2 linked regions of the Bombyx mori genome follow. The protein of the gene in region 1 purifies or fractionates together with the protein of each later gene. This does not show direct contact. Links are inferred from orthologs where the notes say so. Each region holds a gene or a part of one and is shown on either strand. Other genes may lie near its edges.

Region 1 (4,291 bases):
TCATTTTACAGGTGGGCTATGAGCTCGTCCACCTATCTAAGCAACAAAAAAACATATATGTCAACATAACTAAGGTATCAATCTACTCTATCTAGGTCATAGACCTTTAGAGTAAAAGGTAGAGAAAGAAAATATCTTTAACGTTTATCGATAAAATCTAATAATATTAAAATCTTCTGGGCAGCATTTTTTTTGGTCAGGAGGAAATCGCCGAACTTCCGCCCTCCCCTGGGGATGGAAGGCGGGGCATGTTGGAGTCGAACTGACTAAAACCTCCTGTCGCTCAACAACCCGCGTCCGAACCTCGCATGAGACAGAACCCATGAAAAGGCAAAGGGGGGAAAGTGAAGCGTTTAGTGCGGAGCACATCTCTCCCATCACCCTCCCCCTCGGGACGCCGGACCAGCGGTCGTCGGCGCCACGACCACCAGCCCTCTCGGTCGGCAGGCTATCCGGAGCCCGTCTAGATGGCGCCGGTTTGAATGGGTTATCCTACGGAATACCCCGCTGGGTCAGAACCAGCGTGGGTCGAGGATAACCGGCCTTCCATCACCCGGATGCTTTTGCGTAAAACGCGTGCAGAGCAGCTTGCACGTCGTCTTCTTAGGCCCCCTTCGCCGGTCCCCAGACCGACATATGAAGGGGACCCGAAACATTTAGAGGGCCAGGGCTTGGGCGAGATCCGCCTCCCTGGCCCCCGCTCGACGGCGGCGGGCTTGCGCGTCTCTCACGCGCCCCGCCGCCTCCTTCTGCGAGATGGTGCACTCGCAGAAGTCGAGCATCGCCTTCCACGACTCGTCGTCGCCGAGCATCGATGCCAATACACTCGGCAACGACAAATTGTTTCCTATTTTTGCGACGACAGCACGGTGCACACCCCTCCCATGCGGGGCAGGCGACGAGGGCAGCACTAAAACCGCCTTGTTTAGCGGCCAGATGACGTCACAGTGGCACGCATTTTTTGTTGACGTTTCATTTCCATAGGTTTCATACTTCAGTGATCTAGGTGGAGCAGGGTCATGTCATTGTTTTTAAAATAGAGTCAGATCATTTTGTTAAGTGGCCTCTCTCGGTGACAATAATAATATGACAATGCAACTGGGGAAATTGATGCTATGTGTCATACTAAGCGTATGGCGTAATGTTAATATTAATGAGCAAATAGTTTGCGGTGAATTACGTCCCGATCTAGTAGATTCTGATTCTGGTCCAGCGGACTGTCTTAGAGTATTAGCAGTACCGTCTCAATGGCATAGCCTATCGCTGACTGCACTAGTCGAAGTTGAGTAATTATTGCGGATGAAGTCACCGTCGTATTTATAACACATAAACAAAAAGCAAACAAACTTAATCATCACATGAATGTTTGCCCGATGTGCGTGTCGGACTCATGACCTATTAAAGAAATTAGCTTCTCTATTAGCGAGTTAGTCAATTCAAAGTGATACAACGAAATTCATTTTTAGGTAACGTTTCAATGGTTAACGTCAAACTGTGTACTCGTATATGCTAAGGAATACATACGAATTATAACTTCTCTAGTTATCTGGTTTTAACTAAGCTATTAATTGGTAATTTTGGATCTATAGCTCTACACAGAAATTTAAAAAATGCGTTGCATAGAGTCTGTCGGTAAAAAATATTTTATTCCTAGCAACTCTAGATGAGAGTGTTTGCTCTACCTATTGCGAGACGTCCAATCTCTATCTAGTCGGTGCTCTATGGTAACTCTCTGGGCTGCGGACGTTCACGAAAATTTTCCGAACATGGCACGAAGCAGCAGGCAGCCACTTTGGTTCTTTCGTCATCGTGTGCTGATTACTACTGAAATTTAATTTATAAATTGCTGAGTGGGGTGATAATAATTATGTTGTTTTTATCAAAGTGAACAATAAAATTGGTGATGTTGGGCTTAGGTTTATTATCATTTCGTCAGAAAACTACCAAAGAACACAAGTTCGTCGTAGAAAATCATAAAAAATCGAGAAAGCTTCAAACGTGTTTGAAGCTTTCGTTTTTGCATTAATGGAACTATGAACCTGGACTCTTTAACGTTGAGCTTATCGCATATACATTATCTCGTCGTAAATTTAAACAAGAAAAATTTCAAGCAGACGAGTCAAGAATTGAATCAGGTAAGAAAACTACCATATTTTATCATTCTTTGTTTTCTGTTGTCGCCATATTGTGAATATTGGCAGCCACGAACTCTTCGCCTGTATGTGTGTGTAGCGTCGGGTTGTTCTATTTGGATATGTTATCGATCGTTATCGCTTTAATAAGTGCTCTGCGTTAGTTTCTTGTGGACACTTTTGATTTACATTGAAGCGTTTGCCTGGTGGCGCATCTCCGCGGAATGATGTCCGGAAATCTATAGTCATAGGTGGCACCCATTTCATTTCCTTCAGCATTTCATTTGTTAAACGTCAATAATCTGCTGTACATATTACGTTTATGATTCATTATTAATTTATCTTAAGAATATTTGAAAAAAAAGCTAACCAAATAAAGTTGAATGTTTATTCTTTTTTTAAAGTATGACAATTTTATTATTCATATAAGTAATAATATGTAATATAATAAATAAGTTAATTAATTATAACAAAGGTTAGAAAAAAGAAAAAAATTTGAAGGTCATTAATAATGTGTTGTGCTATCTGTGCTAATGATTCAATACAACTTCTTTAAAAAATCAGTTGCTAAATTTGTATTATCATACTACTTAGAATATAATAGTTATTAAAAATGACGCAAGATTATTTCAACATGAAAAACACGTTAGAAATTACCCCACATCTAGTCTTTATCAATGGTTGTTTCAACAAACTAGCCTAGCAATAAGTAAAATGATAATAATTAAACTAGTAGTAAATTGCGTGAAGCATGTTTTTGACATGTTGCTATTGCAACATTGCCTGAGTGATTTTCATTCCGTTTGGTTGCTCTGTTTTACTTCCGTGTGTAAAGATTCTAGGAAACATGTGTTGGACACTGTTCAGTAAAATAAAGTAGCAAAATACAGTTTTGACAGCAAAGGAAAATAACTGCTAGTATATAAATTGTATTGTGGGTAGACATGTGTTTTTTAACTGTCCTTAATACTGAACAAAGAAGACAGCAAACACTAAGGAAATCAATTTAATATTTACACCACTTTAAGTAAGCAATTACTATTTATTTTATTTCCCATTAAAAATACTGAGTGTTTGTTAGATTCTTGAAATCGTAATATTATTTATTATGTTGATTAGCAGATACCTACATACATATCTACTACTAAAATATGAACTCTGTCATAAGAAGACTTAGTATCTGCAGTAATAGATTTGCCTCTGATATTCTGTTAAATACCAACATTTATTTTGTAAAATATATGTTTGTACCTCATGTCTAATAACAAAATGGTAAACAAGTAAATTATTTAATAAAAAAAACAAAACCACTGCATTTAAAATATTAACTGAAATGCAAAAAAAAAAAACATGTAATGTTATTAATTAGGTTTTAGGTATTATGATATTACAGGTAAGGGACAAACCAGTTGTTCAATTGGTGGTGTTTGAATGGAAACAAATAAATTGTATTTCTTTGCCTGTCCTCAGGCAGGTATTTGAACTTTGAAAACTGCTATATAGAACAAGGACTCTCATAAATGTTATAAATGTGGATATATATGCTTATTCCTGTATGACCATGTCTTTATGTTGAACAAAAATTATCAAGATAGATAAGCTATTTAAATATTAAAGTGAACAATCAGGTCAGGTCAGGTAACTTATTTACTTTTATGAAAAATTTGTTACTTTAATTTGCTTGGTTACCTACTACATTTTACTGATTTTAATAACAATATAGTACTCAAATATGACAAATAATCCAGTACTAATAAAAAATAAATAAGTAGTACTCCATTATCACTACATAGTATAAAACAAAGTCGCTTTCTCTGTCCCTATATCCCTATGTACCTATGCTTAAATCTTTAAAACTACGCAACGAATTTTGATGCGGTTTTTCTTAGTAAATAGAGTGATTGAAGAGGGAGGTTTATATGTATAATAATATCCATTAAATAGTGGACAAATCAATAGTAAATTACAGTTTCTGAAGCGTAGCGAGGGCGGGTCGCTAGTATAGTATATGTAAAGCTGTCTTTTTTGTCACCTGGCTTTCAAAATGAACTTTCCTCCTAAATCTTTTCATGTATTTCTTCAAAGTTCAAAAATTGTTCTCAGTCTTAGAAAGTTGCCTAGTTGTGTTCTTTATGCTCAACTGTTACCATTGACCATTG
Region 2 (4,324 bases), on another chromosome or scaffold:
TTACTTTGTTCATCGAAAGGCTTAAAAAGAAAACTAATTTCATGCTCGACTCGGCGTCAACCTTTAAACATTGTTTATTCAACCCTTTCCTCGTTAAAGTACCTATAAAGGGCACGCGTGACTACCTGTGATTTTGGCGTTTTGTTTGCATATAGATTCAATAGTGTTTTTCAGTTTGGTTTTAGTACGAATTACTTTCGACGTAATGTCTATATATATAAAAATGAATTGCTGTTCGTTAGTTTCGCTAAAACTCGAGAACGGCTAGACCGATTTGGCTAATTTTGGTCTTGAATTATTTCTGGAAGTCCAGAGAAGGTTTAAAAGGTCGATAAATATAAAAATGGTCGGAATTAAATAAAATTAAAAAAAAAATGTTTTTCCTTTGATGTGTCCCCCGTCGGACGGATTCCTTTTGTTTGTTTTAAGTTAATTTTATACAAAAGTTTAGGTCTTTTATTTATCGATTGAGGTACTACGAAGTCTGTCGGGTCAGCTAGTATTAAATAAATAGTATATATATGGTATAACAACGAATCGCGAGTGTGAAGTAAAACTTATTTCATGGAAATATAAAACTATCAAAGAAATAAAAAATACAAAAATTCAATTCACGTACAAAATTCGAAATCGAGTTAATAGTTCGTCATTTCCACACGTAAGCACGATACGTAATTGATGTTATTATGATTTTCAAGTAACAACAGTCTATTTATTTTGTGGCCTCACGAATAGAATTTTTATGGAATACGGACATTAATAACTCGAGTGACTAGTAAAAGGAATCACATGATTATTGATATTGGCGTTGTATGTACGCCTCGTGATATCGAGTGTTATGTTTGTGTACAGAATAAATGCTTTATTCGGTAATTTAATTAGCTCTCTTACATCCTGCAAAGTTTCATCCAAATGGATCTATTCTGTATGCATTCCGTTTTCGGTGTGTACAACTCTATTATTATTTTATTAGATCTAGATTTTTCAGAAGAACATTTTTTACGGTTTCCATTGATTTTTTAATTTAGCGTTTACACTAAACGATTAAGCTGAAATTATGACAATACATAAAACTTTTGACAATTTTGAAGTAAAGATTTAGGGATTTATCAAAATCATCTGTGTTATTATTATTATTGTTATTGTTTTACAGGATATTTTCAAATGGAAAGTTGATAAAGTTAATAATTATAACATATACAGGGCAGTCGAGCCAACCAGGCCTGGTTTCAGAAACCCATAGAGACACCCACAACATGACGCATCCAACCATAATAAGTTGCTCGAACTGGATCCAATAGTGACTATCCTGAACGCCTTCGAACTAGAAGCAAGATGGGGCATCTACCCTCTACGGATTAACAACATGCTATATCACTCTCAAAATAGGAAACTTCTTTCAAAAACAACGTTACAGGGTGTGTTGTTTCAATAGGTTGAGGGAAAAATCAATAAAACAAAAATGTTTTTTTTTGAACTCCAAATTATTCGAATAATTAAGGTTTTTATGAGTATACTTTAATAAGCACTGATTGAAGTCTGTGCTCCGTGACTACATAACGCATTTGACCCGTCAGATATAAATAAATACACCTAATTATGCGAACTATTTTTTATCAGTTGAACGAATTTGAACCTGATTTTATTTTGTGTAAACTGTCCGCAGTAAAAAATATATTTCTTTCACAAAAAAAAACTGTTTGTAATTGTAATGCAATCGATGTAACCGCGATAAAAAAACCAATAACAGTTCCAGATAAAGAAATGTGATTTCCATTATTTTTTTTGCGTTTACCAACTCATATTTCGTGAAAATAAATTTATTTGGTTTCCTATTTCAAGAGTATTATTGCCTAATTCCTCACATTGATAAATTGATCGAAAATCTTACAAATCTTCTTAAAAAAGAGTACCTTTCTTTTCGAACTAAAATTAGTTATGTACTAAGAACTACTAGACGAAGTTCTATTTACACAATTTAAAGAATGCAAACATCGAGAGATCTCTGAATGAACCGCTGTCTGAACGACTGCCAGAATACGGATCACTCTCGTCTGATTTAGTGCCACTCTTTAGGTCATGACCATTCTCATGACCACTCCGTCACACATCTGGCCAAATTCAAAAACATCTTGATTGACGTTTCTTTACGAATATATTTTTAGATTGAAACATAAAAGTGTAAGTGATAGAGTAAAAAAATTATGCGCATAACTCTCTCTACCTTTACCATAAAAGCGTTATCGTAATTCATATTCTAAGCACGCGCCGAAGATCACGAGCCGTGAAACCGATTCGTTTTCCTCTCGAACGAATCGCACGTGACAACACGATGACATACAACGCGTAAAAAAAAAAAACTAAACAAGCGTTCAAAACATAAACGTAAACTCTGCAGTAACGTAAGTGAGAACGCAAACAAACGCGGCCTTGAACGTTAAGCAGATCGCCTGAAAATACTCCGGCGCGTGGAAATAGCCGCGATGAAAATACGAACACGTGATGCTACGTACCTAGTGAACAGTCGTATGGAGAAAATCGATGGTGCTTGCCACTCGGCGACCGGCGGTTGACTAAGCCACTGTGTCAGCAGAACGCGCCCCACCCGAACGTCAGCCCGCCTGATTCGATGTCACGGTTTGCAATTAAAAAAAATACTATACACAGTTTACGCACTAAAAATATAATTGAAACACTTTAGATTGTGGAATTCAGGCGGCTTGAGTGAGGTTGTGATCGCGATCGGCCGCAGCGCGGGTCGACTAGCGCGTCTCGTCGAGTCGCTGTGGAGCTATGGACTGTCGGATCGGAGTATCGGAGCGAGGCAGCGGCGACCGACGAGGTGCCTCCCTGCCCCCGCTGTGACGTAGGCATAGCCCGCGATGCTGGAAATTAGCAGCTTCCCGAGCGAGGGTCGGAGGATGTAGGTCACGGGGACTGGGCTGCACTTGCCCGCTCTACCGTGATGCTACACTTGACAAGTTTAAGGACATAACTAGGCTTGATTAGATGCATGCCGTTATCAAAACTATGCCGTCAATATAGATAGCTACGGGACCAAAACTCGTAGCATGCAATAGCGTAGACATACAAAAATATAATTATTAATGGAACAATCGCAATTTTGTTTCGAATAACTTAAAATTTTGGGTAAAGACAACCGAGACGGAAAATTTCTTTTGAAGTGCGAATTGGAAAAGTTTTCAGACCTCTTTTTTCGGGTTATAGTCAAATAAAAGTTGGGCCGTCATCGCTGCGGCGTTTATCAAATTACAAAGGAAAAAGGTGCTTGTGTAAGGAAAAGTGTTAAATCCCGTTTTCTTGGAACACGTACCTTTTTCGTCCAAGCAAACCGTATTTGATACGAGGTCTATTTTACCCAATAATTGTTCTAAATAAAACACAATTATGATTTAATTGAAACTACTTTTACGGTTTAATATTGCGTGTATTATCCATCGTTCCGAATAATTAACAGTTTTCGTGGTCAATCGTTCGTGACCACCAGAAACAAGATTATCAAATAATAGTGACCATTGACTGTTTTTATAGAGAGTCTATTTATAATTTGACTGAATGTTGTCACTTTTAGAAATATACCTGAGACCTGTTCACGAAACATTTCCAGGACAAAGGAAAAATAACGTGTAATGAAAATGAAAATAGAGATCCCAGGCCGTAATGTAAGTCTGTGCGCTTAGAACAACCGGCTTATCCCAACTAATATACATAAGGTCGTAAAATTCTAGATTTAATATGATTTTTAATAAGTTGGTGTATAACTTACGAATCTTTACTCTCTTTATTATCTCTTTTTTACATGTTTCAAGGTAACTGTTGATGAAAGGAATAAATGCGGTTAAAAATATCATCCCAAGTTTAGTCTGTCTAAAGATGTTCAGAATAGAAGAAATAAGCAAGTGGCGAGGTACATAGTCACTTTACTTTACATTTTTGAACAAATCAAAAAGCCGTTATGAAATATCGCCATATTCTCTTAAAGCTTTGAAGGCAGAGTTTGATAATGAACGGATTTACCATTTTTGTTCGTGTAAATAACGTATACCAATAATGTCTACAGCACATATGAACAAAACTTAAATGAAACACTAGGAAATTTTTTTCATCTCAAAAATGAGAAATCAGTCATTACGAGTATTCAGTATACGTATCAATAAACACAACAAAACCTCTTCAGGAATTATAGAGACGTTTTTTTTTAAAATTAGATAGTTTAAAATTAAATTAGCCTCTATGTAAAGGAATTTTAAAAGGACGACGAATTACACCCATTTGACAAAATTATCGCTCGAAGTAATCTTAA

What was found. The genes of interacting proteins can lie anywhere in the genome.
Region 2: the proteins of CCR4-NOT transcription complex subunit 1 (region 1) and protein Tob1 purify together in Homo sapiens (co-immunoprecipitation; 3 studies listed by BioGRID and IntAct, counting the BioPlex papers as one, with this or other methods). This does not show direct contact. The link is inferred for Bombyx mori from reciprocal best matches to the Homo sapiens genes CNOT1 and TOB1.

What each region holds. Positions count from the first base shown.
Region 1 is NC_085107.1:17,975,593-17,979,883, reverse strand, and holds the start of CCR4-NOT transcription complex subunit 1, read left to right. Parts: upstream 1-1,475; 5' UTR 1,476-2,033; coding exon 2,034-2,135; intron 2,136-2,242; exon of another isoform or gene 2,243-2,383; intron 2,384-3,048; exon of another isoform or gene 3,049-3,159; intron 3,160-4,291.
Region 2 is NC_085116.1:12,120,296-12,124,619, forward strand, and holds the start of protein Tob1, read right to left. Parts: upstream 2,859-4,324; 5' UTR 2,514-2,858; intron 1,836-2,513; exon of another isoform or gene 1,154-1,835; intron 944-1,153; exon of another isoform or gene 778-943; intron 1-777. UniProt on the Homo sapiens protein: Anti-proliferative protein; the function is mediated by association with deadenylase subunits of the CCR4-NOT complex. Mediates CPEB3-accelerated mRNA deadenylation by binding to CPEB3 and recruiting CNOT7 which leads to target mRNA deadenylation and decay.